Linked DNA regions of Struthio camelus. The protein of the gene in region 1 interacts with the protein of each later gene in a pairwise test. Links are inferred from orthologs where the notes say so. Each region holds a gene or a part of one and is shown in the gene's direction. Other genes may lie near its edges.

Region 1 (10,231 bases):
AACACTAACGCCAGAAACGAAATGCCTGACAGGTATTTCAAAGTCAGACAGATGCAAAGCATATATAGCTATACATTAAGAACAACACTGCAAACTTTTCAAGACTTATCTGCTTTTCAGACTATTTATAATTTTTACAAATTGTTAATTTTAAAGTAGATACTGCAACCATATCCCTAATTTATAGCAAGAACAGCTCAGCTTCACAGAGAACCACAAATCCTCTCAATTTAGTAAGTAAAACTTAACCGTGATCATTAAAAACAAACAAAAAGCAGGAGCAAGAGAGCTATTTAAAGGAAACCTTCAAATGATTTTAAAAGACATCAATATATTTTCTTGGCAACCAGCGTTCTCTTAGCCCAACTATACAGCACTAAACCACATCCAAAAAAAAAAAAAAAATCGATCTCTGGAACTTTATCTACCTGGCTTTGGAAGGGAGAACTTGTCCAAATGTCTTTTCTGCCCACAGATAGAAGAATTTCCTTGCTAGGTATCTGGAATATAAACAAAGGTTACTTGTCTTTTTTACTCCTCCTTGGTTATATTTTCAGACAGCAATCTTAAAAATCAGGACTTTCATGCTAGCTCCAAAATAACACTGACGGTCTGTTTTATAAAGACCAATGCACATACATAACATTTACAGCCTGAAAATAGTCCTTTAACAGGACTATTCACTAAGCATAAATAGAGACCAGCACATCACTGCAGGATGGATTTGGGACATGCTTGTTTCTGAAACCAAGATAGCCGAGATGTCTTCCATGCAACCACTTACACCCAGTGATTCTAAAGAGCAGGCTGCTGATTAACTGGGGTGCCTTTATGCCATTTAGAAGAAAGGACATGAATGTTTCTCTGAGATCAACCAGCTGAGTCAAAGTTACATTCCCGAAAGAGCTAAGCCACTATCTAGTGTTTAGCCCTGAAACAGGGAGGTCCTCCTTCCTCCTTCCTCCCCCGCATCAGTTCTAGTTTTCAGTAAGCTTCTCCAGGATCCAATCCGGCTTGCTAATATGTGGTTATGATACTATCCTCCTACCCCCCTCTTCTTTTTTTAATGGATTCAAGAGCTAAATTGGCTCACAGAGGGCCCCAACAGGCATTAAAGCCAGTACAAGGTATTTCAGGAAAGCACATAGCCATGAACAGGACTTCCCTCTTGCAGCATACCAGAGCTGCTAGATCAGCTCAATTTGTCCAATCAAATTGTCCAATCAAAACCAAACTTAAATCTCTTTACAGTTACAGTCCCATCTTTGTCATGATTCCGTCAACAAACAAAAGGAAAGAAACGCAACAGCAGGGAAAGACTAAAACATTATACTTGACGGTCTCCAGGAAAGCACATTTTTAAATAGCCATTTTTAAAATTTACATTAGAAAGCCAAAAACCTAGGAAATCTGACTGTGCTAACATACATCCTCAAGTCATCACAAGACATTTTCAGAATTTTTGGGCACCCTTGTGAGAAAAACCTTTGCCTTAGCCCTCAGTTATATCATTAAAAACATCAGAACTCTTGAAGAGAACTATCCCCCTGCTCCTTTGAGTGAAAATTGTGTTTTGGTCTTATCACCTGATCTGGAGTTCTTTTAACCTTCTTCCTTGATTGCAGATACACCCAACTGGACATGGACTGTGATGACCCCCGTTCTGAAATCGATGTCCAGCAGATCGTGGAGCAACACACTGACAAGCAGCAGAGTGACCAGCTGCATGCATTTTAGGTCTATGCAGTTGTTGGGTTGCACGCATCTTCAGAGATTTTGAACTTAAAAAGGAAATAAAAGAAAACATACTGTGTGTAAGACCCTGTTAATTGTAAAGAAGCGGCATCATTTCTATGGATTAACCTATAACAAAGCTATACAATCACATAGAGAAACTGACAGCTACCCAACGTTACAACACATTTAACATCTCTCTTGTCACGCATTATTCACTAACTTTATTTCTGGAATCGTAAGGCCATTTCCCCATGAACGGCAGTAAGTCAGATTTCAGAGCAGTCATGTCACAGACAGTTCCTTTCTCCTTTAAAGTTGAAATGAGAAAGAACTAAAATGCATTTGTGCTTCCCCTCCCATGTACTTATATACAGTAAAAATTAAGGCTTTTACAGAAAATAATAAGACTTAAATGTGTTTTTCTGCCTTTTTTTATTCTTGAACAAATCAAGCCGTTTTGTCTACTGCTGAAAAACTCTCTTGAGGACTACAGAACTGAGGTGAGGATTTCTCAATGATCACTTTAATAGGAAAGCCACTTACACATGCAGTCTGTTTACAAGGAGATCTTCCCTAGTTTTGCTTATACTTGCATCAGTTATGTTTTTTCTTTAAGAAAAAAATTACTAAAAATCCCTTCCTGTCTTCATATAGCCATCATTAAAAAGCAAAATTAAGTACATTTTTCCATTATGCAGTTTATTTTGAAGCCTAGCTCTAATTTGAAAAATAACATTTGAAAAATGTTTTTACAAATTCTAAGTATTTTGCCTCAACAATTTTCTGAAAACAAGCATGATAAAAAAAAAAACTAACCAGATAAAACCTGTTGAACCAGTTGTATTGAAGCTTCTTTCTCAAAACAAATACTGTCACCACCCTGAAAATTTGCACATTAGAACCACAAAAACATTCTTGAACTCCTTAACACTCAACAGAAGAGACAGTCTGAAATCTCATCCCAATAATCACCTGAGGAGAGCTAGGAAAAATATATGGCTGCAGCCAGGAAAAATCTTGGTCCACAGTTATTGGAATAATCCACACTAATAGGTCTCAGGAGTTCAGCTGAACACCAATTCAAAGCATTCACAATAAATTAGAAAAAAAATTCCAATATTAGTTAAAATCTCATAGAAGAAAAAATAGTACTCTTGGCTCATTCCAGCAGGCTGCAAGAAGCTAAAACAAACCTAACGAAAGAAAACAAGACCTGTAGTTTGCCACAGAGATAAATTCTTGTTCCCCTATAAAATATCATTTTGATTATTTTCTGAAAGAGAAGGGCCACATCTGGCAGACAAGAGAATTCTGTGCATGTCAAGATGTGCAGCTGAGGCAATTGCGTGCACTTTTGAAGAAAAGAGTTTCAGACACTTTTTAAATTATGCAAAATTGCTTCCAGTACATTTCTTGCGCATTTCTATTAGACCCAGTTCCCTTCAAAACCTTCTACTCTATTCCAAAGGTAAACTTAGTCTGATCATGCACACAGCTGCAACATCACAGAAAACAGTAAAAATCAAGCATGGGTGGAACATGTAGAAGTTTGTATTAACAAAAGTCCAGGGCATGTGAATATGTAATGATTTTTCAATAAACATAATTTATAATAGATTATTCCTAAATATCAAGAACCGTATGTGAGAGCTATTACATATATGCAGTGACGGCAACCCATGCGCTTGAGAATTTATGTGAAGTAGCCAAGAAAAATAAGGGTTGAAGAAGGATCATTTCCCTTTTTTAAGTCAGGAAATAAAAACATGTGAAAGATAAGAGAATTGCTTAATATCACAGAGGAAATTTGTGCCTGGGCAAGCAATTGTATCCAAGTATCTTATGACCCAGTCTAATACCTGAAGCTCAAGAACTTCACTTTTGTATTTTAGCGTTATGGTAACATAAACCACAAAGGTAATTCCCCCCCGCCAAGAGGTACATTTTCTGATTAAGAGTCTTCCATGGAAATTAATTAAAAAAAAAAATCTTAATTTGTTTCTGTGCCATGGAACGCATAAGTTGTCATAATGAAAATAATACGCCCGAGTCCTTTAACAAAGCAGCATCTTACTACTGCTTACCTGCTCTTGCACTTCTCCATGTTGCCTACAATTCCCAGCCTGCAGTAAACAAGCGCACTCTCTGCACAGGAAGGTTGTATGTTATCTTGGGACAAAGCATAAATTATTTCTTGTTATTTCTGATGTGATCAAATCCCATCTATGCTAATTTCACTCTGCAGCTCTTAAAAACGACCTGAATTCCCCTCACCCACCCTGCGCGCAGAGTATAGGGCAGATGTTCAGCATGAGCAGCGTCCCCCTGCACGCCCAGGCCCTGCGGGCTCCAACGGCCCTGTGCCGGCAGACCCTACCGGCCACGGACAGCGGCAACGAGCTGAACGCTAAGACCACAGCAGCGCCTAGCTAAGCAGGGCCGTGACTGGAAAAGGGCTGTAAACTGGCCAAGAGGCCCTAAGCTACGTACCCGCTGTTTCCAAACCATCGAGGTGTGGGAAACCTGCTACCTACGCTAACTGATTCCTTTCGTACCTCCTCGCGTCGCTGTTGTTTACAGACGCTACCCCCTCCCTCCGCAAGCACGCGAGGACGAAGAAAACGAAACCCTCAACACCACCCAGGGCCAGCCCAAACCCCGCGGACGGCGGGAAAACCGGCTGCGGCTGACGCAGCACCCCAGCGGCCCCCCAGGGAAGGAGCTGCCCCCCCCGCTCCCTCCTCCCGCCCTCCGCACCCCCTCACGCTCCCCCCCGCCCCCCGGCTGCCGCCGCCGCCGCCTCACCACAGCGCGGGCAGCAGCAGCAGCAGCGGCGGCGGCGCCTCAGCGCGGCGCGCGCCGCCCGCGCGCAGGGAGAGGGGGCGGGGCGGGGGCGGGGCGAGCGCGCAGCGGCCCCCAGCAGGCGGGAGGGGCGGCGGCCGCCCCGGGCTCCCGGCCCCGGTTCGCCGGTGGCCCGGGTTTTCTGTGGGAGCGGCTGTGCTCCCTCGCAAGGCGCGAAGCAGGAGGATCGGGGCGTTTATGGAAGCTAAAGCAAGGCGAGAGGCCCTTCAGGGCCCCCCGCGGCGCTCGTCTCGGGAGCGTACGCGTTACGGCGTCAAGTTTCCAGCAGTCGCAGCGCTGCCCTATTCGTGCTACAGCACTTAGGTCTGTCAGCTACGGAAAGACTGAGAAATGTTTGGTTTTGTTTCGTTCCACAGGTGACCGCACATATAATCTTTACTACTGACGTTTCAGGCAATTGGCAAACAGACGGACAAACCCCCCGCCCGTTCTTCAGCAGCGCTGCATGTGCTCCCCGTGCAGCTCCGTCCAAGGAGTTTGGGGCATGAGGGGCCTTAGGGCCCCCGCCCCGCTCCTCGCTCACGACCTGCCGGCAGCCCCCGCCCCGGCTGCCCCGCTCCCTCCCGCGTTTCCCCGCCTGCTCTCCTGCCGGCACGCCAGCTTGCACCGAGCGGAGGTGGCAGCCCGATAAAGTGCGTTTTAAAAAAAAAAAAAACCTTCTGAAGGGCTGTGCAGCGTGTAGGCCACGGCCTGGCTCGTTTTTTTTTTAACGTACACTTCACTGTTTTAAAGGGTAAACCGCCAAACCCATGCAAAAAGGGCTACGAATGGAGGCGGGCGGTATGTGTAGTCCTTTCCGGCTCGTCCCTTCACCGTCTATGCACGCGCGCTCCTTCAGAAAACAGCCCGTCGAGGCCGTTTCGCCGGGCGCCCCCCCGGCGAAGCCCGCACGGACCGAAAACGAAGGCGCCTCGGCTCCTCCGAGCGCGGGAGCCGCCCTGCGCCCGCAGGCACGGCGCCGGGAAGAGGAGCGACCCGGGGCGGCCGGGCGGGCCGCGCCGCTGTCAAGCGCGATCGCCGCGGCCGGGGCCGAGGCCCAGGCCGGTCCCGCCCGCCCCGGGCGCATGGCGCCCCCCTCCCCCCCGTCCCGCCGCCTCCTCCCCCGCGGGGCTGCCCGCGGCGCGCGCCTGAGGCCCCCCCGCGCTGCCCGCCTCTCTCCTCACCCGCCGCCGCCGCGCTGGCCGCCACAGACGGCGGCGGGGCGGCCGCCTCCCCCCCCGCCCCGCGGCGCCCCGCCAGGCCGGCGGCGGCGTTGCGCTCCCCGCCGCCGCCGCCCGCCCTTTCCAGTCAGGCGCGGCGCGGGGAGCCCCGGCGCGCGCCCGCCGCCGCGCCTGCGCGCGGGCCATTAAAGGGGTGCGGGGCGGGCAGCGGAAGGCCCCGGTTACGGCGGCTGAGGAGAGCCAGAGTCGGGCGAATAGGGAGAGGGCGCGCGAGCGAGCGAGGAGCCGCGGAGGGGCCGGAGCCGCGCGAGCGGAGGCGGCGGCGGGCGGCGGCGCCGGCCCGGGGCAGGTGGTGGTGGGGGAAGGGAGCGGGTTGGGAGCGGGGCGCCGCCGCGGGCAGCGCCGGGCGGCGGAGCGGAGCCGGCGGCCGGGAGCAGGAAGCGCCGCGGGCGGCGGCGGTGAGGCCTGGAGCGGAGCGGAGCGCCGCCGGGAGACCCGCCGCCGGCGCGGTGAGTAGCGGCCGCGGCGCAGGTGGGGATCCGCTGAGTCACCTGCCCCGGCGCCCCCGCCCCCTCAGCGGGGCGCGGGGGCCCTCGGCGCCCCGGCACGGGCCTGGGCCGGGCCGCGCCGCGCTGCCCGGCCGCCCCCGCGCTGGGGCTCTCGGTGCCGCCGCCCCCGGAGCCGCGGGCAGCGGCCGGCTGGCGCCGCTCAGCCGAGGGGGGGAAGCGACAAGTAGGAAAAACGTGCTGTTGTGGCTGGCGGTGGTGGTTGTTAGGCGTCACATCTGGAGGATGGTTTGGGGGGCTGAAAGGAAAATGCACCCCTTTCCCCCCTTCCCCCCCCCCCAGAAACGCGTGTCTTAAAATTTGATGCCTTGATTTTGTTTTTTTTATTAGGTCCATGGCCAAAGGCTTTGAAGTAGCCATGGATAAAAGAGGAGGTGTAACGGAAACTGAAAATGGGGATGCTTTCCTTGAGTTGAACAGAATTACAACGAAATACCCACATCGTTACACAAAAGTAAGCTTCTCTTCCCCCCCCCCCAAAAAAAAAAAAAAAAGAAAAAAAGGTGCCTGAAGCTGTTGCTCACAGAAGTAGAGTTGGAGGCAGAGGTTTCCCTGACTTGGAAAGTCCAAGTCAGACTTGACTGACTGGTCGGTTTTGAGAGGCCTTTGTTTGGGTTGAGATTCTCAAGGTGGCATGAGACAAGCAACTTGTTTAATCTGAAGCGACTGTGTAATCTTGACTGTCCTTCATATATACTTTTGGTTCCCATCACCTTATTATATCTGTGCACCTCATAGCGTGCGCTGGGGATGACATGGTAGAGCCTGAAGTATGTTGTTCTACCAGCTTTCTCAAGCACTTGCACTTCATTGTTTTAGTTCTACTTTCAGCAATGTTTCTTTAAGAACACGACCAAAATGTTTACTTGTCGTATGATGCTACTTTCTTGGGATAGGTAGTATGCCAGATCACACTGGCACTTTATTTCTGTTTGGATGTTTTCTTAGAACAGGTCTTGTTTGGGAGTTAGAAGCTTAGCACTTATGCATCCAACCACTCTTTAATGTTAAAACTTTAACACAGGTGCCCTTGCTCAGCTGTGATACCTGAATGTATGAGTGGAAGAACCTCGTTAAATAATGTGCAAATAAACTTACCTAGTGTTAAAAAAAATCTTTGATAAACCATGAGGTTTTTAAGGTTCAAATTCTGTTTTGGATCTTGGTGCTGTGCTGAAAGATGACTTTTTTTTTTTCCTTAGAACAAAAGCCTTTATGAAGGTGGTTGATATTTTCATTGTTGAAAGCTGTGGAAACAGGTGGTCATGGCTTTGCAGAAATCTATTAAGATATTTTGCAACAAAGGGCTTGAAGTGAGGAAGAGAGAATGAGACAGTGTACTGTTGCTGACTGTATTATCTTGCCTGAGGAATTCTGAACTGTTAGTTTCCTAGTAGGTTGTTTTAAAAAAAACTATCATTGTGTCTCTGTTCCACTGAGATAGTGGAACTAGCTTACTTTCACCAGACATCAACAATGGCCTGAGTATTTCAAAACTGCAAAACTTATATGGGAATAGTATGGCTTCTCTAATTCTTTTCTTAGAAAAGATGTTCTCTTAACTTTCCAAGATGCAAACTATAGTATTGTTCAGAACTTGTTATTCAGTTACCCCTAAAGCAAGGGGGGGGTGGTGGCTTTATCTCTGAACGTTCCCTGTTCCTAAAAGCTATATCTGTTCTCAGTTGATCTCACTCAGCTCTTCTCAAGAAGAATAACTGAATGCAACTTGAGATTCTGGTGGCTGTTTTGAGCAGTATTCGGGCAGCACTGATGGTAGTTGTACAATGAAATTGGTGCAGTTGTAGCTGCAGCTGTTAACTCTGTACCCCTAATTCTGCTCAGAATAAAGTGACTGAATTATTGCCAGAAGGCAGCTAGTCTTGTTTATCTATCTGCTTCCACAGAGCTTGGAGTGAAGAAACATATATAAAAAAATAAATCCATGTTAAAATGTCCACATAGTAATATTGCTATTTTTTTTTTACAATTAACATGCCTTAAATGCAGCTGATTTAAGATGCTCATGGGATTAATATTAAAAGCTGTTTTCACATGATCCAACTCCCTATGGGGCGGGGGAAAGAAATAGTACTTCAGGAGATATACTGATTTGGAGGAGGGCCTGTTTTCCTTTGACAATTTATATTCACTTTCTACTGGTGGGAGAACGACTGGTTCACACTATGAATCCTCAAACTGCTTGAATAATACTTCCTAATAACAGCTAAACACACCTTTCCCCTTACCTGCTTGAAAGTACTGCTGGGTGAATCAAAAAAAACTGTGAAAGTGCTAACACTAATCTCCTCTATTATGAGGAAATGTGTTATATTCTCAAAGCTGTGTCTTTCCTAGTTCTTTAAAAGCTGTTACTCCAGCTAACAAGTGAAAGCTTAAAAAAAAACAATTCAAATCTTCCTCACTTCAATGGAAGACTTGCAATAGAATTTGATTGGAAGTCTAGGGACTCCCTCTCGTGGCCAGCAAAATAGTAAATATGAAATCTGATGGTGGACAATGCCATTAATACTTCTGATATCTACATCCAGACTATGATAGTATTACAGTACTAATGTTTCTCACAGGTCATAATTTATTTTGGGAGGCTGTGGGTGCAGGCCAGTCTGCCTCCCTTTAAAGCTCTGCTCTCCAGGCTGTCTGGTCTTGCTAGGAAAATATAACTCTTTATGGTGAAGGCTAATACAAGTTAATGCTGGGAGCTCCCTGCTGTCTGGGACTCCCTTCTCTGGTGCAAGCCCTTTCCAAGCAGCAGCTCTTCTTTTCGAGAAAGATGATGAAACACCAGTGCAGGATAGAGAATGGCTATGTGGCCCTACCCTAGTTTTAGGGACCTAGGGTTTTATCCCTAGGGTTCAGGGATAAGTTCTATTCCAGACTTCTAGTAGGGCTAGGAAAGAGTAGGTTTAGAGTCCTTGCATAGAGCAGGGAACAAGATTAATGTGAATACTAGACTTACCCTAAATAGGGTTAAATAAAATGGACTCTTCAGAATGCATTACTGTAATAATTGCTAGTACCATCTTGTCTGCTAGATAGTATCCATTCTACATATTGCCAGCATAAATGTTATCCTGTCACATTCAAATATTCCTCTTCAGTCAAATGATTTCTCCCAGTCTAGCTGAAGTGTTCCTTGGTATATTAAGCTGTTATGGGGGGGAGGGTGTATGTACCTATATACATATTTTTCTTAGGTTTTGTACAGCTATTGAGTAATTGACATCTGGAGTCTTTCAAGCAATGTGACTATAATCACCTGTTGAACACTGTAGTTCAATGTTGCATCTTTGGGAGGATGTTAGAGACATTCCCTTCTTCAGTTTGGTTCATGTGGTGTCTGCTGTTAGGATCCCTTTATCCTTCTAGCTTCCACTGATTTCTACCCAGTTCTGAATCCGTTCAGTACAGTTGGGAGTGAGGCAGACTGAAGTAAGATAAGCTAGGGAAGAGGAGTAAGTTTAATTAGAAATATACATCTTTATTGCTGCAGCTGAGTTAATCATGATTCAAAGCATCAACTATCGCACCATTAATACAGCTTTCTAAATGTGGCAAACTGCAGTGACACTCTAGATTAAATGACCAGCTGTTCAGGGGTGTGCAGTTGTAAGTCAAGGACTGTTTGTAAGCTGGTAGAAAGTGGAAAACTGAAGTAATTATTCAACACTGATCTGGCATTGGATTGAGTAGATATAACTGTAAAATATACGTGTCTTTTTTTGTTGGAATTGGTGATGGTCAGAAATAGCAAGCTTGTCTGGAACTGAGATCTATCTTAATTGCTAGTATTGCGGTAATACTTTTTTACTCTCTGAATCTTATACAGCATTGAACATAGCAATTTTCATTGCATCTTAAACTTACTAGTGCTAATATCAATCA
Region 2 (10,595 bases), on another chromosome or scaffold:
GTACCACTGGATGCGGACAGGAGACACAGCCTCTTCGTAAATTCTTCATGTCTATATGCCATTGTGTGTCTCATTGTCTCTCTAGATGGCGAGGATGTATGGAAATGTATACACACTGTGGCTGGGAAGAACACCGGTGATTGTGCTGAATGGATTCCAAGCAGTGAAGGATGCCTTGATTGAGCACGCTGAAGAATTTGCTGAGAGACCCATCACACCCTTCTTTAGGGATGTCGTGGGAGGCCCCTATGGTACTTTCTGTTGTTGTGTGTACTGATGTATTTTTGTCATAACAAACTGTTCAGAGGATAGGGTGGGGTACAATGACTGCACCTACTCTTAATGCCTCTTCTCAAGATGTGCTGCTCTTGTTAGCAAGATGAATTCTGTAGACTCACTGTTCCACATCCTTCTGAAATGTGGGGCCCTAAATGTGCATGCAGTACACAAAATCAGCGGGTTTATACCAACAAAAAAAAACATTTATATGCTTGCATAGCCTGGGCAATTCTTAGTAATTGAGCATGTTACCAACCTATCTCAGGAAGTCTTTGCAGTAAAAGGCATAAAGTTGTAAGCGTATCAACTAGTAGGACTCAGTGTGTGTTGAGTATCTTTCTAGGTAAAGAAGGAGAAAAGGAAAGGCGGACATGGGGATTAAGTAGATGTGAAAAAAACAGCACAAACATCTCTGAGTTCTTATGCAAGTACTGTTGGGGATCCTTCCAAATTCATGCTGGCAAGTCTTCGAACCACTGTAATTTCATCAACCCTGCTTATGGGAAAGCCAGACCCATACTTCTCCCCAGTCATTCTCCATTTCATTGCAGGCATCATCTTTTCCAATGGGCACACCTGGAAGGAGCAGAGACGGTTCAGCCTGATGACTCTGCGGAACCTGGGTCTAGGCAAAAAAAGCCTGGAAGCCTGGATCCAGGAGGAAGCCAACTGCCTGGTCAAGGTCTTTGCCAGAGAAAGAGGTGAAACATAGATCTGTATGTGGTCATGACATGGCACAAATATCTCACTTTCTGTTTGAATGAGTACTGACTCACTGACCGGCATGTGGAAGGGCTCATTCTCCTTGAGTATTTCAAACCCTGTCTTTTCTACTGGAGGTTGCCAGTTTCCCTAATTTCTACAGATGATGCTTTCACAATTCATTTTGCACTCAGCTGGAACATCACATCTGACTCATTGCTTTCCCTCTAACCCTTTACTGGGGAAAGTACTGGGGAAGTACTCCTAAATTGTCCTTTTCTGCAGGATGGAATCCTTCCCTCATTCATTATAAAGGTGCCCAAAGAATGATCTCCCAATTAGACTCTTGTATCTTGACCCCTGCAGGATCAGTTATTTGTGTAATCCCATGCAAATCAGGAGTAGGCTGGATGGAAGTGTGACAATCGGCCATAGCCTGCACAAGAAGATAATGATGCAACTTTCTCTATTCATAGGCAGACCTATGGATCCCTCTCTCCCCATCCTTTCTTCCATCAACAACGTGATTGCTGCTGTGCTTTTTGGACATTGCTTCTCTACAGAGGCTGATGCGTTCCAGAGGCTGCTCAAAGGCTCGCAGGCCATGGCGGGATTCCTAGGCACCTTCTGGCCTCGAGTAAGCAAAAGATTGACCCATTCCCTCCAACTATATCAAAACCCTCTGGCCTTCCTCAGTGAGCTGTGGCATGAAATAGCCATTCTTTGCCAATGCCCAGTGATAAATAAGAGCTCTTGACTAAAGAAGACTGAGAGGCGATCTCATCAATGTGTACAAGTATCTGAAGGGGGACGGGGGGTGTTGAGAGGATGAGGCCAGTCTCTTCTCCATGGTGCCCAGTGACAGGACAAGAGGCAACGGGCACAAACTGAAACACAGGAAGTTCGGTCTGAACATGAGGACAAACTTCTTTCCTGTGAGGGTGACTGAGCACTGGAACAGGTTGCCCAGAGAGGTTGTGGAGTCTCCTTCCCTGGAGATATTCAAAACCCACCTGGACGCGATCCTGGGAAATATGCTCTAGGTGACCCTGCTTGAGCAAGGGGGTTGGACTAGATGATCTCCAGAGGTCCCTTCCAACCTCAGCCATTCTGTGATTCTGTGGTTCTGTGAAATACTGAACTCCGCTAAAAACAGCACTCCAGTTCCATTCTTTCTCAGTAATGGTTCCTCCACAAGCATTCATGGCTATCTCTGTCCACAGACCCATTGAATCTCCCACACTAATTCTCTTTCGACAGATTGATCTGACTTTATATTAAGATTATTCAGCATCAAGCCTGCCTTGGGGCCACACTCAGGTTTTTCCTCTTAGCTTTTTCCTCGAAGGGTTCTTTAATAGCCTACTTTTCCTATGTTAGATTGGGATCCTTCCAAACCGTTCAAAAAAATAGAGAAAGTTAACATTGTTGTGGCTTTGAGAACTACAGCAAAGTGCTGACTTAAGGTGTAAGAGGGAACAGGCATTTAGGGAGAGGCTTCACTTAGAAAACATAAGGAAAGCTGTACTGTAGCAGATTTAAATCCATCAACTCTAAAAGGTATTAGTGGAAAGCAGGTAATCTGGAAAGTAACTGTATGCTAATGATCACCCTTTGCACACTTTCTTCCTCCAAAATAGATAATAAATAAAATTAAGTGGTCATTTATTTCCTATAGTTTGACAAATAATATACCTGGATCATAGCCATGGTCAGCCACGGTTCAGCTGTGAACGTTTAGGCTTTAAAGAGTAGCTAAGATGTCACGGTGTTCCCTGTACCTGTATTTTCATGTGCAGCTCTACGATACTTTCCCATCACTGTTGAAGCACTTAAGCCCTGTGTTAATGAGATCACTGGTGGCATTAAAACACCTGCAGGATCTACGTACAGTTATTAAGGATGAGATCAGGAACCACCAGGAGAGCTGGGTGCCTGGAGAGCCACGGGACTTCATTGATGCATACCTAGCTCAGATGTTAAAGGTAACAAATAACTAACTGTCTTTTGTGCAGCTGCAGCATATTTAGAATACTTGTAGCCAAGATACTTCCAGCTGCATGTCTACCTCCTCCTCTTCTTCCTTCTCAGAGTCTATTTGTTGGGATATGTTTCTTTTAACTCACCCTCAAAAGCAAAGTATTTTCGCAAAGTACTAAGGATGTTCCTTGGTAGTCACCACAGAAACAGTAATGTTTCTCTACTCTCGACTGGAAAAAAAGTGTATTGTACACTGCTGTCCTCAGGAAGATTTTTTTTAACAGATCTATATGGCTGCTAGTTTTCCAGCTTCATCAATTCACTGTGGAACCTCTGAGGCAAAAAGCTCTGTTGCTGGAAATGTGCTATGCTATTAAAACTGCTTTACATTGCATTCATTGTCTCACATCTGAAGACAAAGGATGACCCCACATCTACGTTTAAAGAGACCAACATGGTGCAAGTGATCACAGACCTCTTCATAGCGGGTTCAGACACCACCACTATCACGTTATGCTGGGCTCTCCTCTACATGATGATGTACCCAGAAGTACAAGGTGAGAAATGCATGCACCTGCATTTACATCTGTGACTGTCCTTGCGCACTGCAGAGTAATAAGCAAAATTCAGTTGTCTCCCCTGCCCAAATTTTGCAGTTTAAGATGTCTTTGGCTGTTTGAGTCTCAGCATAGAGCCTAAGTATCAACTGCCTTCCTGAATGCTCACTACTAGCCTTTTTCTTCTGCAGAACGAGTCCAAGAAGAATTAGATGCTGTCATTGGTCCATCTCGTGCAATTGAATATAAGGACCGAGTGATCTTGCCGTACACAAATGCAGTTCTGCATGAGATTATGCGTTACAGCAGCATAAGTGCCATAGGGGTAATGCGCAAGTGCACCCAGGATACCATTCTACAAGGCTTCCCTATCACTAAGGTATGTTAAAGCCACAATATTTTTTGGTATGATCCTTAGATAAAGCAAAGAAAGGCAATCGATTCTTTTTACCTTTTTAACACCATATGTTGTGCTTATATTTTGCCCCAGGCAAAGCTGAGTTTGAACAACTTGTGCAAAACTCTTCATTGTGAATAGGAGGCAGGACATTATCTACATCCTACAGTAGAAATAAACTCCTACTCAGCTTCACTATCCTTTTGCAAAGATGCTCCTTATAATGGTTTTTCTATACCAGATTTCAGGAGTTAGATCAGTATAATTATATCAGTATAATGATCTTGTTCTTCTTTAAAACTGATGCAAGTCAAAGCCAAGTAGAAAAAACAAAGAAAATCTTGAATAATAGTGTTCATAGACACAACTTATTGTATAAGCAGAATGCTTTAGATCCATATCCAACCTTATACAGGTGGTCTTCCCAATGGACAAGACCTGTGTGGCTCTCAGGGAAGATGCCTTTGAAAAAGCAAGATGAAAAGTCAGAGGTCTTGGGACTGTGAAGCCTTCAATTCAGCATTTTTTTCCAAAGTTTCTGATTATTGCAAGCACAATTTTCTTGTAAAATACTGTGCTCTGATGCTCTAGAATCAATGTTAGAAAATACCTAATCATTTCTAAATAAGCTATTCTGCAGGAGAGAGCTTAGCATGACCGTGTTTCTCATCCCATAATAATTAGATGGCACATGCATTGGGCAATTTCAAGAGAGCAATTGGCACTTTGGCAATTTATGACATTAGTGCCTAACTTTGTGAAAAAGATCCTTTTATGTTCATTTTCTCTTTCTGTAGGGCACCTTAATTTTCCCCAACATATTTTCTGTCCTGTATGACAAAGAGCAATGGGTGACTCCTCGACAGTTTAACCCTGGTCATTTCCTGGACAAGGATGGAAACTTTGTGAGCAGAGAAGCCTTCATGCTCTTTTCTGCAGGTGAGAGCAATCCTCAGTATTGCTCACAGCTTTCCTATAGTGATTGTTTCACAGGCCAAAACCTTCCTAACATTCGATCTGCCACGAGTATTTTTGTTCATTCCCATAATAAGGTCTATGCAGCAAAAGACAGAGGTGCTGATTTCAGAGACCGGTAGCAGCTTCACCTTCTTGAGGAAAAAAAACTAAGACTACCTAGTGTCTGAAATTCTCAACAAAATGAACTGCGATTGTGGAAATGAGGTAGATTGTCCCGTGGGAAAAAAATGACAAATTAAAGATCCCTCAGAGAGCAGGGGATAGAAGTCTGTTTACTAATTAAGAACTGGCTCCTGGAAGATACTGGAAATCTCTACCAATATTGATATCAGTGGACACCAAGAGGCCAGCAGATGAAGCTGCTGCATATCAGGTTTATTTATGAACAGCATCTACATATGAACAATTTTTAGAACGCACATTCCTGATCTACAGGTTAAGGATTTTCTCTGACTCTATCCATGTCGTAAGTTGGTGGAGAAACAGAAAGTACTTTGGTCAGAAATCTGATCATTAATTCTGCTGGATAGCAGAAATTATTGGGCAGAGGTTTGTAAAAAGCTATGAGAAGATTCTCTTCTCATGGGGCAATGTCTTCTCTTCTCATGTAGTGTGAGGGGAAGCTGAAGGAGGGATTATCTCCCTGCCCTCTATGAACTGTCCATTAACCTCTCCTAACACATCAGGCATTGCAGGGTTTTACTGGTATATTTTTTCTCTCCTCTTCCCATCTCGGACGCTATCCATGTCTCAGGTGAGAGACACTAGAGAAATACAGCGACCGTAGACGTTGGAAGGGGCTGTAGATCTCAGCAGCTCTGTTCACAGGGTGCCCCAAGATGAGTGTTAACAGATCTAGAGCACTTCTCTGCTTTCATACCGCAGTAAGTGGCTACACGTAGGGACTGCAAATCTCTCCTGTTCTTCTGGGCTTCACAGCAGAGATGTGCTCTTGCCTACGCGGGGGTGAAGCCCACGCATGACACATTCTCCTCGCTCCGCAGGCCACCGCGTGTGTTTGGGGGAAGGGCTGGCCAGGATGAACCTCTTCATCAGCTTCAGCAGCCTGCTGCGGGCCTTCACCTTCCGGCTGCCGGAGGGAGTGAAGGAAGCCGATGACCGGCCCATCGTGGGGTTCATCCTCCAGCCGCACCCGTACAAGACCTGCGCCATCCCTCGCTAGACGCTGAGGGGAAGAAGAAGGGATGGGCGCAGGCTGTCTGGCTGAGGGCCGCCCTGTCACCACAGGAGCTAGCCGGGAGTTTTAGGTGACATATGGTCACCCTTTATCCACCAGAGACAACTGAACAGTATGAATAAAACGGGGAAGCTACCTGAACCCCTCGGCCTGTGTCTCTCCGCACTGGGCGGCCTCGCCGAGGGCAGGGCGCCACCCGCCTTTGGCGGCACGCCCGACTCGTGCCACTCCCAGCATGGCGGCTCTGCCCGCGCTCGCCGCGCTCAAGATGGCGGCGGTTCTGCACGCATTCAAGATGGCGCCCCTCCCGAGTCGCGAGAGAGTCAGCACTCAAGATGGTGGAAGGGGGGGGGGGGGAAGCCCCTTCCTTTTGCCCCTCCCTTAGTTCCTTCCGTTGTGCTCTGCGCTTATGTCGCCGGGGGAAAGCGCGACTCTGTGTCGGAGCCGCCCTGCCGTCGGAAGTGGAGGAAGGTTTTGGAGGGAGGACTCGGCAGAGCGGAAGTCGCTGAGGTGGACGGAGGTGGCGGCAGCGAGCGACGATGAACAACAAATTCGACGCGTGAGTCGGCGGCGGGGCCGTCCCCGACCGCCGCTACCGCCGGCCCGGGGGGCTGTGCGGTCTCCCCTGCCCCCCAGCCCGCCCCGGGGCTTCCCCCCCCCCCCAGCGGCGGCGCTGCCCCGGCGCCGTTGGGGCGGGACGCGATGAGTCACCGGGCTTCGCACAGCCCCGTTCTGCCCCCTCAGGACGGCCCGGCCCGGCCCCGGGGCTCCCGCCCGGTCCTGAGGAGAGCGGGCTCGGGGGGGGTGGGTGGGTCTGGCGGCATAGGGCCTTGCTCGCGACGAGGGGGTCCGCCTTCTGGCCCCACTTCTCTCTCCTCTTTTCCGGCCCTTCGCAGGGAAGGGGGCGGGCGGCGAGACCTGTGGGGCGCAGGGTGCCGGCGTGGTGTCTGCCCGCCCGGGGGACAGTCTCCGCTAGGCTTAGGGGCGGGGAGAGCTGGGTGGCTGAGAGTCAGCAAAACTGCGGTGGGTGGTCGCCTTGTTTGCCTCCCAAGCAGTCAGGTTTTTGTGCAGCAGATCTCTGTCCGTTATGAAGTGCTTGACTTTGTCCTAAAAAGGCATTTTGTTGCAGGCTTCTGCTTAAAAGTGTGTACCTAAGGTGCTTGTGATGGGCTCTGGGCATGACAAATCCCATCCGTAGTTTTCACTGTGTAGGTTGTCAAGTGTAGCTTTCCAAGCGCGGGTGGCTCTTGTGTGACATAGGAGCTTAGAAGCAGGGGCTGATGAGGCTTCTCGATTGTGACGTACAGGACTGTCATTCATTCTTTATTTCATTAACCAGTTTGAAGGATGATGATAGTGGAGATCATGACCAGAACGAGGAGAACAACACACAGAAAGACAGTGAGAAGGAAAAGAATGATCGAGAGAAACCACAGAGTAGTACCAAGAGGAAGGTAAGGGGCTGGCACCTGTGTTCTGTCACTAGGGCGTGATGGTGGAACGCTAGAGTGTTCTCAGTGCGGGGATAAGAAGAACACGTCTTAGTGTGCTATGGTCACTTTGTATACTGTTACTGCTGTAATGAAGATGGGGGGCTGTGTTAGCATTTGTTTAACTTGACATAGCATTCGGGGTATATGATCTGAGGGGTGAATGCTCCTTTCACAAACGCAGCTAATGCTCTGGCCGGCTTTTGAATGGGGAAGTGGGGAGAGGAAGGGGGAATGACTGACTGACTGACTGACTGAGTAGTGACTTGCAGTTGGCTTTCCAAGCTATGCTTTTTTGCCATTGTTGAAATAATCCTTAAGACGGGATCTGTATGAGGGTAAAGTAGCCTAGTTAGGAAGGCAAATACCCATCCTGTTTTTTATCTTGTGCTTAGGAAGACTGTACTCTCTGAAGTAATACAATCCTTATAAACTTGCTGTAGGCTAGTGGAGAGTAGGGATTTAAACCCTACTTGCTCTTGTAACAATATCAAGTGATGCAAGGTGATGGGTTTTTGGTGTTTTGGGTTTTTTTTTTTTTTTTTCTCCTGGCACTTGCGACTCTAGGGTAAGGACTTCTCATCTACCCATTTTATGCTCTTTAGAAACCTTTTTATTGCAAGTGGATGGAGACTGGAAAGTGATCGCTACCTACTGTTAGCAGTGGGTTCTGCCAAAGCTGACATAACAAGTTTTGAGACAGACTAATCCTTCCAGAGTCTTAGGGTGTTGGTTGCTTGGGGGAGCTGCTGTCACCAGGGAGTTATAATTGCTTTTGGATCATGATTCAGTGTAAATGGGCTTTGCTCTTCTCAGGGAATGAGAATGGCTTTTTCTTTTTCCTTAATTAAAAAAATTAAGCTCTTCTACTGCCCCTTTAGTTGGTCTATCTGTTTCCTTTGAGAAACTCACAGTCAAGGACTAAAACAAAAACTTAGTAATACTGTCTTTAATTATGATGAGGGTTACTTTGCGTGACACTCCCTCAAGCATAAGTTTTGTTACTTCCTTAGCCATCCCTGTACTGCAAATTTCTATTATTCTTTTGAAATAGAGTCAGCTGCTGTTAACCTAATGGTCCATGCCAGATAGTTAACAGAGATGGTATTTTTCTATGAAAATGAGGATGAGTTGTTTGTTTTACACTCGGTAGGGGCGGGAATATGTAGACCACTGATGCCCTGGATGTTACTTTTCCCATTCCCCTTCTAGAGGAGTGAATAAGGAATAAGCAAGCTTTTCTGTTCTGCAGGCTGTTGTCCCAGGGCCAGCTGAGCACCCCCTGCAGTATAATTACACTTTTTGGTACTCCAGACGAACACCTGGGAGGCCTACAAGCTCGCAGAGTTATGAACAGAACATCAAACAGATTGGCACCTTTGCCTCAGTGAGTATGTTCCTGTTGTTCTTGTCACCTGGGCATGGTGTGGTTGTCTTGGCTGGCTTAACTCCTCTTTGTTAGGGATATGCACGTGCATGCTCTGCTCTTCGTGTTGGGCAGAGGAGAGAAAGTGATGTGCCACGATTTTACAGGTGAGATTTTGAATTGCCTGCAGCAGGTGACATGTCTAAAGCAGTTCTCCTTTGCCCTGTGCTAGATAGACATCAGTGCCTGCAGTAATGGTGGAAGCTGGAATAATAATAGCAAGTGAAAAGAACTCCTGTTTAGCTTAAATTGGATAGCTGGAGCGGAACTTGGCGGGTAAGCAAAGAGAAGAAGGGAACAGCTTTTTCTGTGTGTGGAATTTGAATGCTGTGTAGTTGTACAGCCTGTTTTTTGTCTGTATCTCCACCACAAACGGTATATTTGGAACAGGCGTCTGGTCTGCTATACGTAAAAGTGGCTGATGGTCTTGTGTCCTTTAGCTGTCTGAAAGTGATTGAGGTGTGGTTTGGTGTTGCAGTGAAGTTTATTTGAAGGCAAACAGCTGTCCCTTCCCCTCCCACTCTTTTTGATGGTTTGTTGCTAGAATAACTTGAGCATACCCTGGAAGGGCAATGTTGGATTGTTGCATAGTACCGATAATCTGAAATAGTCATTAAGATCCCAAGAGACACAGGAAAAAACATGTCCTTAGTTGCAGAGGCACCAAATATAATGCTGTTCTCAAGTCCATTGGCTGCTTGGTGCCTGCTTGGGTTATTTCGGGAACTTGATTGTTAGGACAGCAGAGGAATTGCCTTTTTTTTTTTTTTTTTTTTTTTTTTTTAAATCTTACATTTTCCTCCAGATGGTCTAGGGTCTCCTGCAAATGTTAATTCTTCCCATCAGTAAATCTCTCTTCTGCAATGCTGGAATTTGTAAAAATATCCCTTTATCCCTTATGGGGGCTGCAAAAAGATGCCTGTCTGGGCAGCTAGCTTGTGTTATTGCATCTGCACAGGGTAAGAATGGGAAGAATAGCTCTAAGCATGTTGAATCACAGGTAGCTCCTGCTCCTGTTCTCCTATGTTATCAATTGCTTTTTCATTCAGTGAATGAACAATTTATGTATGTATTCTCCCAGCTGTCATGACAGCAAGCCCAAATTGCTTGGACTGAGTGTGGCTGCTGTATGGTGATCTGGCAATAACTTTTCAGACTGTTCTTTAAATCAGTATGGACTTAAAATTGATTTTTAGGTCCTTGGAGGACAAACTTCACACATTCTGTTGTCTGCTCTTTGCTGCAAAGAATTTGTGGTTGCTGTGGTGGGCTAGAAATGCTTGATCTCAGTTAGGATGGGCGGCATTGGCCAGAAGATCTGTTAACGTGTTTGATTCCAAATATTCTGTTAAAGGTGGAGAGAAAACAGGTTTCAGAAAGAAGTTTCTGAGGCTAAATCAGGGTTCAGATGTAGTCTTTGCTTTTGATTAGAATGCCCTGAAAGCTTTTAAACGTTAACCGCTAGAGGGCATATTCACTCACTGTAAGAATTTAATTTCTACACTGCGTTTGGATGCGTCTGAGAAAAATAGATTGCTTCTGACCCCACCTCAGTCTTGGTTCATAATTATATTGGCTGTAAAAGGAA
Region 3 (9,985 bases), on another chromosome or scaffold:
GGCAAACAGCAGTTCTTCCTTACAACAGCAGTTGGTTACTTGACTGTCTTAGCTGATGGACTGCCCCCTTCATGGTCTCTGCCACTTTACTTTTGGGTCTCCTCCCAGTTCAGGGAATGACTTCCAGTGGGAGCGTTATTTCTTCTCAGAGACAAACTTGCCTTGCTTTTGCAGTAGTTTAAAGCAAAAGAAGCCACCTAGTGTGGATCTGGCTGGGATAAACGGGTTTCTGTGCAGGAAGGGGAGTAAGCCGGGCTGGTCCACTGCCCCTTTCTGTGCTAAAAATGAGAAGGAGAGGGCATTGCTGCTAATAACAAGCCCTGCTCTGCTGCTCACCTAGAGTTATACTGGTACTGAAGGCAGGGATCACCCAGGCCTTTCCTTCTCTAAGAGTCTGAAAATAGTTAATATGTCCTGTCCTAGGCAAAGGAGGATAAATACAGCAATGCCATCCAGTTCCTCTCACTGGGAAGAGGAGGTGCCTTATGGCTCTTCTGAGGTGAGAGGCTGCTCCTGGCATTTCTGGTCACACCATGTCATCTCCTCCCTGGTCTAGTAGAAGTGAAACTTTGGCCAGAAAGAGAACTTTCTGGAACAATTCTGTGTGTGATGGTGGTGGTGATTTGACCTATTCCCATGTTACCCCTCAGGTGATGCCACCCGTGTCCCCATGTGACCCTGCACTCAGACCTGGAGCTGACCTCCTGGTTACTATGATGGGCTGATGTAGCAGGGAATTGCAATATAGATCGCTGCTGCTGTGGGGAATGCACCTTTGTGTCACAAGAGGCTCGTCTACACTGGAGCTTCCTCCATCCATGTGTCTTTCCTCCTCCTCTTCCTCCAACCACTTAATTTATTTTCCTCATCCCAAGAATTTATCCTTGTGCCTTATGCACCTGGCTGCCTACCTGTGCAGACTCTGTATGCTCTGCAGTCTGCTGCATCTCACCTGGGCTGGGACTGGAAGGTGGCTACCAATGCCCTCCTCAAAGCTGTGCTGTTGATCTAGGGGAGAAGACCGTGACTGCGTCCTGAGAGAGTAAAAGTGCTGCTGTGCTAAACGCTTGGCCCATCTGAAGGCATCTCAGGGACTCGTGCTTTGGGCTCAGGGCCTGGAGTGCACCTTCTTCCATCCTGGTGCTCCTCTAAGGAGGCATGGCTGGAAGGCATGTGACCAGCTGCAGGGGTTTGGTGGAGAGCTGACCACCAAAGGCTGAGCACTTCTGAGAGTGAGTCATGAAGGGACCAAGGTCCTAACCCTCTCCCGCAGGAATCTCCAGTCCTGCAGTAGCATTTTTGCAGCTCTTGTAGCCCCAGATACGTACCGGTCAGCTCCTGAGAATTCATCCCAGCGTGCCTTATGCTGTTCCCTTTTGGGATTCATCCTGTGGGGACCCCAGCTAATACCCACTGACAGAATTTGCTTGGTATAAGGAGCAGACGAGGAGGATGGAAAGAGATGCCTTAAACTTATATTTACGCTGATTGATTTGTGTAACAGGGCAAGGACAGGTTCCTCCTGTGCCTTGCTATTTACATCTTTTACTGACAAGATTGTTTTTAAGCACTGTTTGTTACTAAACATAAGTACAAAGGCATTTGTATTTTTCCCTGGAAAACAGGGAAGAGTATGAGTGTTACGTATTAACCATTCTGTTCCCAATCCCCATTTGCTGACTTTGTATTGTTGAAAACATTGACAATATTTTAAGCCTTGTATTGCACTGATCATTATTTAAACTCCTCAGTGAAAATAGACATGTGTAAAAGCAAAATGATTGGTGTGGTGTGAAATGCACAAATGCAAAACTAGAGAAGGTTTTGAGTCATTAGGAAGAAAATTTGGCCTTTTAGAGTAGGAGTGGGTAGTAATTATAATTAACAGTAGGGTGCAGTTTTTATCTGTGTATCTCCAAGCATTTTCCAGGCTTCACAGTAACTATGTGATTATCATTCCCTTTTCACAGAGGAGGTGCAGAATGACTGCCTTGACACTGATTACAGGGATTAAAGGTCATCATCTGCAAAAGTATTTTGGTGCTGAGTTCTCCTTAACTTCTGTTGGAGGCAAGTGTCTAAATGTCTTGGTGGGCCTGGTCCAGAGCAGCGCAGCTTCAGTGGCAGAGCTGTGAACACAAGTGCCACTTCAAGCAAAGCATTTCGGCACATGTTTAAAATAAAGCAAAAAGACATGACCAGCAGAAGCGATATCCATCAGTTAGTCATGGGCCTACGTGAAACAAGGCCAGAGCTCCTACTCCTCTTGCCGATAGCTGTGTGATCGTGTACGTACCCCATCCCACAGGATATACACTCACTGTGAATTTCAGTCATCTAAGAAATTTGCAATATTTCCTTCTATGACCATCATACTTACAATTTTATTTATAATTTTGTAATATAACATGCAGATCAAGACTTAGGTACTGTCATGTTTTCAACCACCAGAGGGCGAGATGTCTTCGCCATCGGCAGCTACAAAAGGCCTCCAGTGCCACGAAAGCAGAGCCTTCAGTGCTAGCTCTCCAGACAGGCTTAGGAAAAAATGCTCCCATACAAGCAGGCATCCATCCAACTCTGCAGAGACATGCATTTCTGCACGAGGGATGTGCTAGAGTCTGGCCCTCTGGGTAAGTGACAGGGATTTCACCAGACGAGTTAGGCCCCAGTTTTATGTTTCCATAAAATAAAAACTTTAGAGGAATGGGAGAAAATACCAAAACACAAAAATAGGGCTGTTAGCTTTTTTAACTAGAAATTAAAATAGAGATTTGTGGTATGCTGAGAAGAAACTGTAACCGAGTAACCGAGGCAGTAACACCGAGGTGTTACTGTTTTAGAGAATGTATTTATTAAATGTCCTTCATTATTTAGTATTACACACACATATCCTTGGTGCTTGAAAAGATAGAGCTGATTATTCGCAGAAGAGGCCAGAACTGGCTTATCCCAACTGCATGGAGTCAAATACAAAAAGTAAAAGCGCTTCCAAAGGAGAAGAAAAAAGCACTTTGTTTCAGTCATTTCAGATGTCACCACAGAGGCGAGGAATCAGATATTGCAGCAGTTAGTTGCCTCAGAAGAAAGACCTTGATGTGGTTATTTTACCTAATGAGAAAGCTTTATTTGGTCTTATCCTTGCAGCTCAGTGATAATGCAGTCTAAGCAGCTGAGTGTTAGCAAACAGCTCTAAATGAGACGTTGCCTTCTTTGTTCTGCTAAGCAGCTATCAGAGATGGTCTCAATGACTAGGTCAGGGGAAGAATTATTCCCAGTGTTGCCTGCTGCTCCTGTTGACTTCAGAGAGAGAAGCGGAGGCTTAACAGCCCTGGAAAGCAGGATTGTACATGCCTCAACCTCTAGGCATGCTACCTGCTGTGGTCTTAAATTCTGCAGCTGTCCCCAGCGTTTCCTCATCCTTTATCTTATCAAAACACTTTGCTTTGTTCTGGTTGAAGATGAGACTTACTCTCGATCCAGAACAACTCCCCTAGCTCTGAAGAAAAGAGCACTACACTTAAATCTTAGCAGTCTCTTTTCTAACATACCTCTATCAAATATTTGGTCCTGGGGGGGGGGGGGGGGGGGGGGGGCAAATAGATGGGGCACAGGAAAAAAGCAACCCAAACTTGTATTGCTTCTTCAGGGTGTCTGTTGGCAAATGAGACAACGAAGCAGTCATAGCAAGTAGTGTAGGAGAGCAGTCTGATTTGTGAATCCCTGAACAGTTCAGTAGACATGGGGACACTCAGGTAGCAAGTCTGAGGTTACTGACAATAAGCCTGTGTTTCTCAGTGTCTTTTAACAGACCCACTGGAAATAACCCCTGTATCCCCAGGACTCCTCAGACCACAGGTGGGGCATATTGAAACATCATCCACTCTCCTTGCAGCAAGGGCATTCATAGGTTAGATTTTTTTATTCCTATGTATCACAGTAGTGTATATACACATCATAGCACATTCTTTGCTCCAAAACATGTGACTTTTAAACAGATAAGGGATGGGAAAGCTTGCTAAAGGAAACATTGTTCCTTTTCCCTTTTACTAAAAAAAAGTTGGGATGTAGGAGACTAAAGGGGCTCATCTTAAGCCTGACTTGCCTGTTGATATCAAAGATGCAGCTGAATCCAGATTTTGTGAGTTCCAGTTCAGTTCCTTATTCCTCATTTCTCCTCTCTCCTGCCATATGGCCACTATTCCTACCCTAAGAAAGTATCAGTTTCTGCTATGGCTTTCCTTAATCTTCCGCTCTCCATTCACATCTCCCTTAAAACACCCAGGAGGAAAGTGCTGAGGCCACAGTCTCCTGGTCGTGTCCCTGTTCACGTCCAGGACCTAGGGTCTTCCTTTGTGACCCTAGATAAGTCCCTAAGCCTCGCTTGGGCTTAATTCCTGGCTCACGCAGGCATACAGCAGCACTTCTTCCCCTTGCAGGGTGCACACAGCGGCGCTCTGCCACTTTGCAAGGCGTTGCTGCCGTTTCCTTAGAGGATGATGCTTGGCCCACAGAGACAAACTACAGTCAGCTGCTGCGGCCGAGGAAAAGGTGCTCAAGAGCAGGCTGGTTTGAGCAGACGCTGGCGAGCACAGAGAAAGGAGACCGCAGCATCCTTCCCTGGGCAGGGTATTGGCTCTTGCTAAGCTCAGGACGCCCTGCGAAATGGTCCTTGGACACCGCAACAAGAGAAATAATCAGCCAAAGAGAGAAGTGAGGTCCCAGCAGCTGCATCCGAGCCAGCAGTCCCACAGCTGCTTGCTGTCTTTCAAACCCCGCACTTTCCGCACTCCTTGGCCTTCAGACTCTTATTTTCCTTTCTAAGCTCATTGGGCCCGTTCCTTATCTCCCACCGGCTGCTCTTCTCCTCTCTCCCCCACCACGGCCAGAGAGAGGATCCAGCTGCATCTCCCACCGCTTGGCTTCTGCTTACGAAACGCCCAGATCCCGCTGCCTGCCCCGGCACCGCAGCCCGGCCGGCGGCGGGCACTGGTGACGCAGACACGGAGGGAAAGAAACGCAGACAGCTCTTTTCCCCTCGGTGGCTGACCTGCCTCCCTCTCTCCTGTGGTGTCGAGGGGCGATTTTTGCGCAACAGCCCTGTCCACGATGGCCCTGCTGCTTCCTCCTCGTTCCTTCCGAAAGAGACGAGCACAAAAAGGAGGCAGCGCATCCGTGCTCGGCTGGACCGAACCTGCTGTTCCCCAGCTCATACTGCGATGTAGGTACTAAATCAACGCCCTTAATTTACCGGGTTAATATAATTTGGAGCGTCTCAGGCACGGTTGTGGCCCTGCATGCCTGCTCCCCTCCCTGGCCGCAGCACAGGACAGGGACCACCCCAAAAAAGGGCGCCTGGATGCCACCAAGGCTAAGGTCACTCTGGCCTTCCCCGCTCGCCTTGGCGGCCGCTCCCCCCCACCCCCCGCCGCCATGGCGCTGCCGCCCTCGCGTTGCCACGGCAACTTCCCCGCCTCTCCCCCTTCGCGCCCTTTCGTTCACCGCGCAGGCGCGGAGCGCGCCGGCTCGCCTCCATGCGCAGGCGCGGAGCGCGCCGGCCGGCTCAGCGCGCAGGCGCCCAACTCCCAGCTGCGCCTGCGCGTTGGGCCGGCCGGCGGTTGCCATGGAGACGGCGTCACGGGGCGCCGCGGCAGCCCGCTGAGGCAGCGCCGCCGCCGCCGCCATGAGCTCGCAGCCGGGGCAGGGGCTGCCCTTCCTGCCGGGCAGCGCCTTCAGGGACCCCACGGTGAGCGCCGCCGCCCGGCCCATCCTGCCTCCTGGGAGCCGCCCCCCTACTCCGGCCCGACCCCCCCGAGGGCCGGGCCTCTGCACCCCCCACCTGCTCTAGGGAGCCGTTATTGCTCTGCCCCCCCCCTCCCCCCCCCACCGCCCCGGCCCCCTCAGGGGATCTGGTACCCCCTGAGCGCCCCCCACCCCGGGGACCTGGTACTCTCTCAGCCCCTCTCCAATTCCTCCAGGAGGCCCCACATCCCCCTCAAACTCACCTAATTCCCCCGAGGGGATCTGTACTCTGTCAGTCCCCCTCTAATTCCACCCCAGAGACCCGGTATCCCTCAAAACTCACCTAATTCCCCCAGGGCATGTGGTACTCTCTCAGCCCTCCCTCTGATTCCCCAAGGAGACCCAGTACCCTCCCCCTCAAACTCATCTAATACCCCCTAGGGCACCTGATACCCCTTGATCTCTCCCCTAGATAACTTATTACTTCCTCAGCCCCTGCTCTAATTTCCCCAGGTGACCTGGTAACCCCCTGCAAATGCACTTAATATCCTGTAGGGGAACTGGTACCCACTGACCACCCCACGTTGCGCACCTCATTCTCCCTCGGCGTCTGCCTCCGATTCCCCTAGGGGAGCTGGTACCCTGGCAGGGGACCCCAGGGGGACCTGGTACCCCCTGAACTCACCTGACCTTCCTCAAGGACTCAGTACCCTCTGAACTCACCCCTGGAGAATCTGGTATTTCCCAAACCCAACTGATGCCCCTGAGCTCACTTCTGGGGGACCTGATACCTTCTCACTCCGCCTCGTAGCCCCTGACCCTACTCCTAAGCCCTCCCAATAGACCTGATCCCTTGGGAATGGATTTGAGGGTATACTGAGCCCACTACTCAGGGTACTCGGTACTCTTGAACCCATCCCCAAGGAACCCATTACATCTTGCATCCACCTCCTCAAAGAGGAGAGAGCGCTTTGGAGAGCTAGGTTCCTCCAGGCTCATTTGAGATTCCCAAAGTTTTCTTGCTAACCACAGAACTATCACCTGTTGAATTGTGTTGACCCTGTCTTGTGAACCACTATCTGCAGACTCACCCCAAGGGGATCCAGCATGCCTGAATCTATCCAGTACTTCCCCTTCCAATCCATGTCATACCTCTGGGGAAGGAGTATCCCCAAACTCACTTGACAGTATTGAAACCTGAGTCCCGCAAGAAAACTGTTGTTTCTCTGAACCGTCTCAGTTTTCTGAACAGCATGTGCTGTGACTTCACCACTCATTCTGATACTGCCCAGAACCAGGACCCATAAACTCACCTGGTCTCCCTTCAACTGTCTTGGTATCCCCAGGAGAACCAATACCTGCCAAAACTCTAGTAGTACTCCACAACGAATGAATCACTCAAACAGATATGTCCTGAACTCGCCAAACTTTGTTAAAGGGACAAATGCGCACTCTGAAGTGGCCTGTCTCCTGTTCAACCAATATATTTCCGATACCCCTTCCACCAAAGGTCTGATACTTCTGCAAATGCCCTCTGAACACTCCCCGTATCCCTTGGAGAACTGAATCCTTTATAGTCCACAGGGAACTGATGCCCTGGAACCTGAGTAACTGATAGTCTTCAGAGAACTGGTATTCCTCCAAAGACCTGATACCACCAGGCCTTCCAAGATCCTCCAGAGGAAGTGAGACCCTTTCAGCTCCTCTCAGTATTCCTTGGAAGAAGCAATCTCTTCCTCATCCTCTGCACTGGAATTAATACCTAAATGAGGAAGCAACCCCTTCTTTCCCCCATTCCCAGTGGTCTGATGTAGTGAGGATCTGATAACCCCAAACCCTCGTTATATCCTCTTGAGAAAGTACTGCCCACACAGACAGGGACGGATGTGCCCTGAATCTTAAGTACTGCTGCAGACCTGTCAACTGCTCTGCCCTCCCTGGGGGAACTAATATATTGAGTCTTGACATCATTACCCATCTTCGACTCAATACCACTAATGTCAGTTTGAGAAACCAGTATCCTTGAACTCTCCTGACTCTGCTTCACTTGAAGGCAATACTCCCTACTCCAAACTGTTGTAGGGAACACGTGAGCAGACCTGACATTGCCCTGGAGCTCCATATCCTTAAGGGGCTCTCTCATTTCCATGTGGCTCAGTATTCCAGGTCAAGCCCCATCTTCCCCCTGTTCCCTTCAGGTACATTCATGGTGCCTGGCCTTGGGAACAGGGCCCTAATATGCTCTGATATTGTAGGATAAGTAACCTCATGCACTTGCGTGTGAACGTTTGCCGTGGAACATGCCTTACCTCAAGAAAAGAGATGCCGTAGGACAGTATTCCTTGTCGTGGATACTCCCACTGAAAACTGACACATCCAGAGCAAGCATTTCTATGTGTTCCTGATAACTCCCCTAGAGTGATCTCTCCAATAGAGAGATCCTCTTACTAATCCAGTCCACCCTTTGGGATCTGATATGGCTAACTTTCTCAAGGGATGGTGAACCCTGTTGCCACTTAGCCTGCTCTGCTCTTCCCATATCACCCACTACAGCCTCTTACCTTCTGGGACATAGACCTCATGCTTACCTGATGTTCCAGTGGAAATGCTGAAACTTCTACAATAGAAACTTCTGTAACTCTTGATTGCTTCTCAAGCGAGGGGTGGAGGAACCTCTGAAGGATTTTAAGAACACCGATGGAATCTAATGCTCCCTTACGAAGATAACACCTTATGTTTCTTATAGCAGTAGTGTTCTTGTCACTGGTATCTGCTTGATAGATGTGCTCTTGACATGGATTGTCTTATGATGCACTCTGATAAAAACCCAGTCCAGTTCATTCTAGATGCATTTATAGGAACCCAATTTTCTCTATTTTCTATAGCGGAACCCCTTCTTATCTTTATTTTGCTTGTCTGTGGATTAGAGATACTCAAGGATAAATTGTCACTGTACCAGTCTTACTGGTGCTTTCTGAAACGAACTGAAATGAACTGTCCAACTATATTAAGTTAGTGACAGCTGAGTTCTTCAACGGTAAGCGAAGTCATTTACTCTTAATAATACTCTTAATCATGCAGGTATAAAGGTTATTCAGTATTAGTCTCAGCTTAATAATATTTTTCCTCAATGTCATCTATAAGTTTTTAAAAATTTGCAATGCAAATCTCCGCACCTCACAAAAGATTATTTCCTATTTCAGAAATATCCCGCCTGCTTTAGTCATGTGAATGCTTCTACTGACTTCAGTAGAGCTGTGTGTGTGAATAACACCTGCAGGATTTAGCAGAGTGGATTGTTATTTTAGCGTAACAACATTTAGTTGGAATGTTAAACCATTGTTAATGTTTTAAGGAGATCTGGACTCCAGAAACAGCTTTGCAACGTTCCTCAGAATTAGTTTGGGTAAATAGTATCAACTCATTTTGCATCAGTTTCCCCACCTGGAAAATGGGCATTGTGATACTTATTTTCCAGGTGAACGTTGAGATGTGCTGAAGAAAACCTCTGCATATAAATGAGGTAGTATTGTTTTTGATTAGTATTCCTGTGGCAGAAGAACAGAAACGCTGGGAGGGGAAATGGCACTGTACGAAGCATTATAGACTTTGCAAAAAGAGGGGCTTTGTTCAGTGGCATTTCTTCAGATATGGACTGGAAGCAACTGAGATTAGGAGTTTACATTCTGGGCTTTCCCTGTTACATGTGCATTAGTCATCTGATATTGTGAGATGTAGTCTGGCATTCATGCTCACTTCTATGAGCCTGTTGACCCAGGAGTCTTACGAAGTTATGAGGTGTTTTCTTCAGGCAACTGCGGGTCCTTAAAAGCCTGTGCACTTCTGACAAACACTGATGTTACCCAATTTAAAGACAAACTTCCTGGTTTTCCTTGAATATTTTTCCCACTGCTTTCCCCTTGGCATTGATTTAACAGAAGGAAATGCAATTCTGTGGCAGGGATAATATTTATAAAATGTTCTGTTAACATAGCTTCGGTAAACTCTACCTTGTTTTCTCCTGAACTTGTTTTCCTAACTGCTCTTCCGTAGCACTGCAAGGTCCGTAGTATCCATTTAAAGAGAAAACAGGCAATTATATGAAATGCAAGTAGGGCCTTGAAGGTATAAATATGATTAAAGGTTTAACCATTGGGGCTGAGGGAGAGAGAGGAGAAGGAGTTCAGATGCCTGAGTTGGACTCATTGCATTTTGAGACTAGAAAAGGAGTTTTCTCTTGGTG

The links.
Region 2: the proteins of EIF4ENIF1 (region 1) and EIF4E2 interact in binary tests that used the Homo sapiens proteins (3 or more experiments, as listed by UniProt). The two-hybrid records come from large-scale screens. The link is inferred for Struthio camelus from reciprocal best matches to the Homo sapiens genes EIF4ENIF1 and EIF4E2.
Region 3: the proteins of EIF4ENIF1 (region 1) and EFHC1 interact in binary tests that used the Homo sapiens proteins (3 or more experiments, as listed by UniProt). The two-hybrid records come from large-scale screens. The link is inferred for Struthio camelus from reciprocal best matches to the Homo sapiens genes EIF4ENIF1 and EFHC1.

What each region holds. Positions count from the first base shown.
Region 1 is NC_090958.1:8,295,646-8,305,876, reverse strand, and holds the start of EIF4ENIF1 (eukaryotic translation initiation factor 4E transporter), read left to right. Parts: upstream 1-6,144; 5' UTR 6,145-6,268; intron 6,269-6,655; 5' UTR 6,656-6,659; coding exon 6,660-6,779; intron 6,780-10,231. Other genes in the region: protein SFI1 homolog, read right to left, coding at 429-500, 1,587-1,781, 3,822-3,841. UniProt on the Homo sapiens protein: EIF4E-binding protein that regulates translation and stability of mRNAs in processing bodies (P-bodies). Plays a key role in P-bodies to coordinate the storage of translationally inactive mRNAs in the cytoplasm and prevent their degradation.
Region 2 is NC_090950.1:22,232,864-22,243,458, reverse strand, and holds the start of EIF4E2 (eukaryotic translation initiation factor 4E type 2), read left to right. Parts: upstream 1-6,489; 5' UTR 6,490-6,630; coding exon 6,631-6,650; intron 6,651-7,430; coding exon 7,431-7,545; intron 7,546-8,833; coding exon 8,834-8,968; intron 8,969-10,595. Other genes in the region: cytochrome P450 2J5, read left to right, coding at 86-251, 831-980, 1,458-1,618, 2,781-2,966, 3,377-3,518, 3,710-3,897, 4,713-4,854, 5,898-6,076. UniProt on the Homo sapiens protein: Recognizes and binds the 7-methylguanosine-containing mRNA cap during an early step in the initiation. Acts as a repressor of translation initiation.
Region 3 is NC_090944.1:11,501,346-11,511,330, reverse strand, and holds the start of EFHC1 (EF-hand domain-containing protein 1), read left to right. Parts: upstream 1-5,604; 5' UTR 5,605-5,683; coding exon 5,684-5,746; intron 5,747-7,838; exon of another isoform or gene 7,839-9,985. UniProt on the Homo sapiens protein: Microtubule inner protein (MIP) part of the dynein-decorated doublet microtubules (DMTs) in cilia axoneme, which is required for motile cilia beating.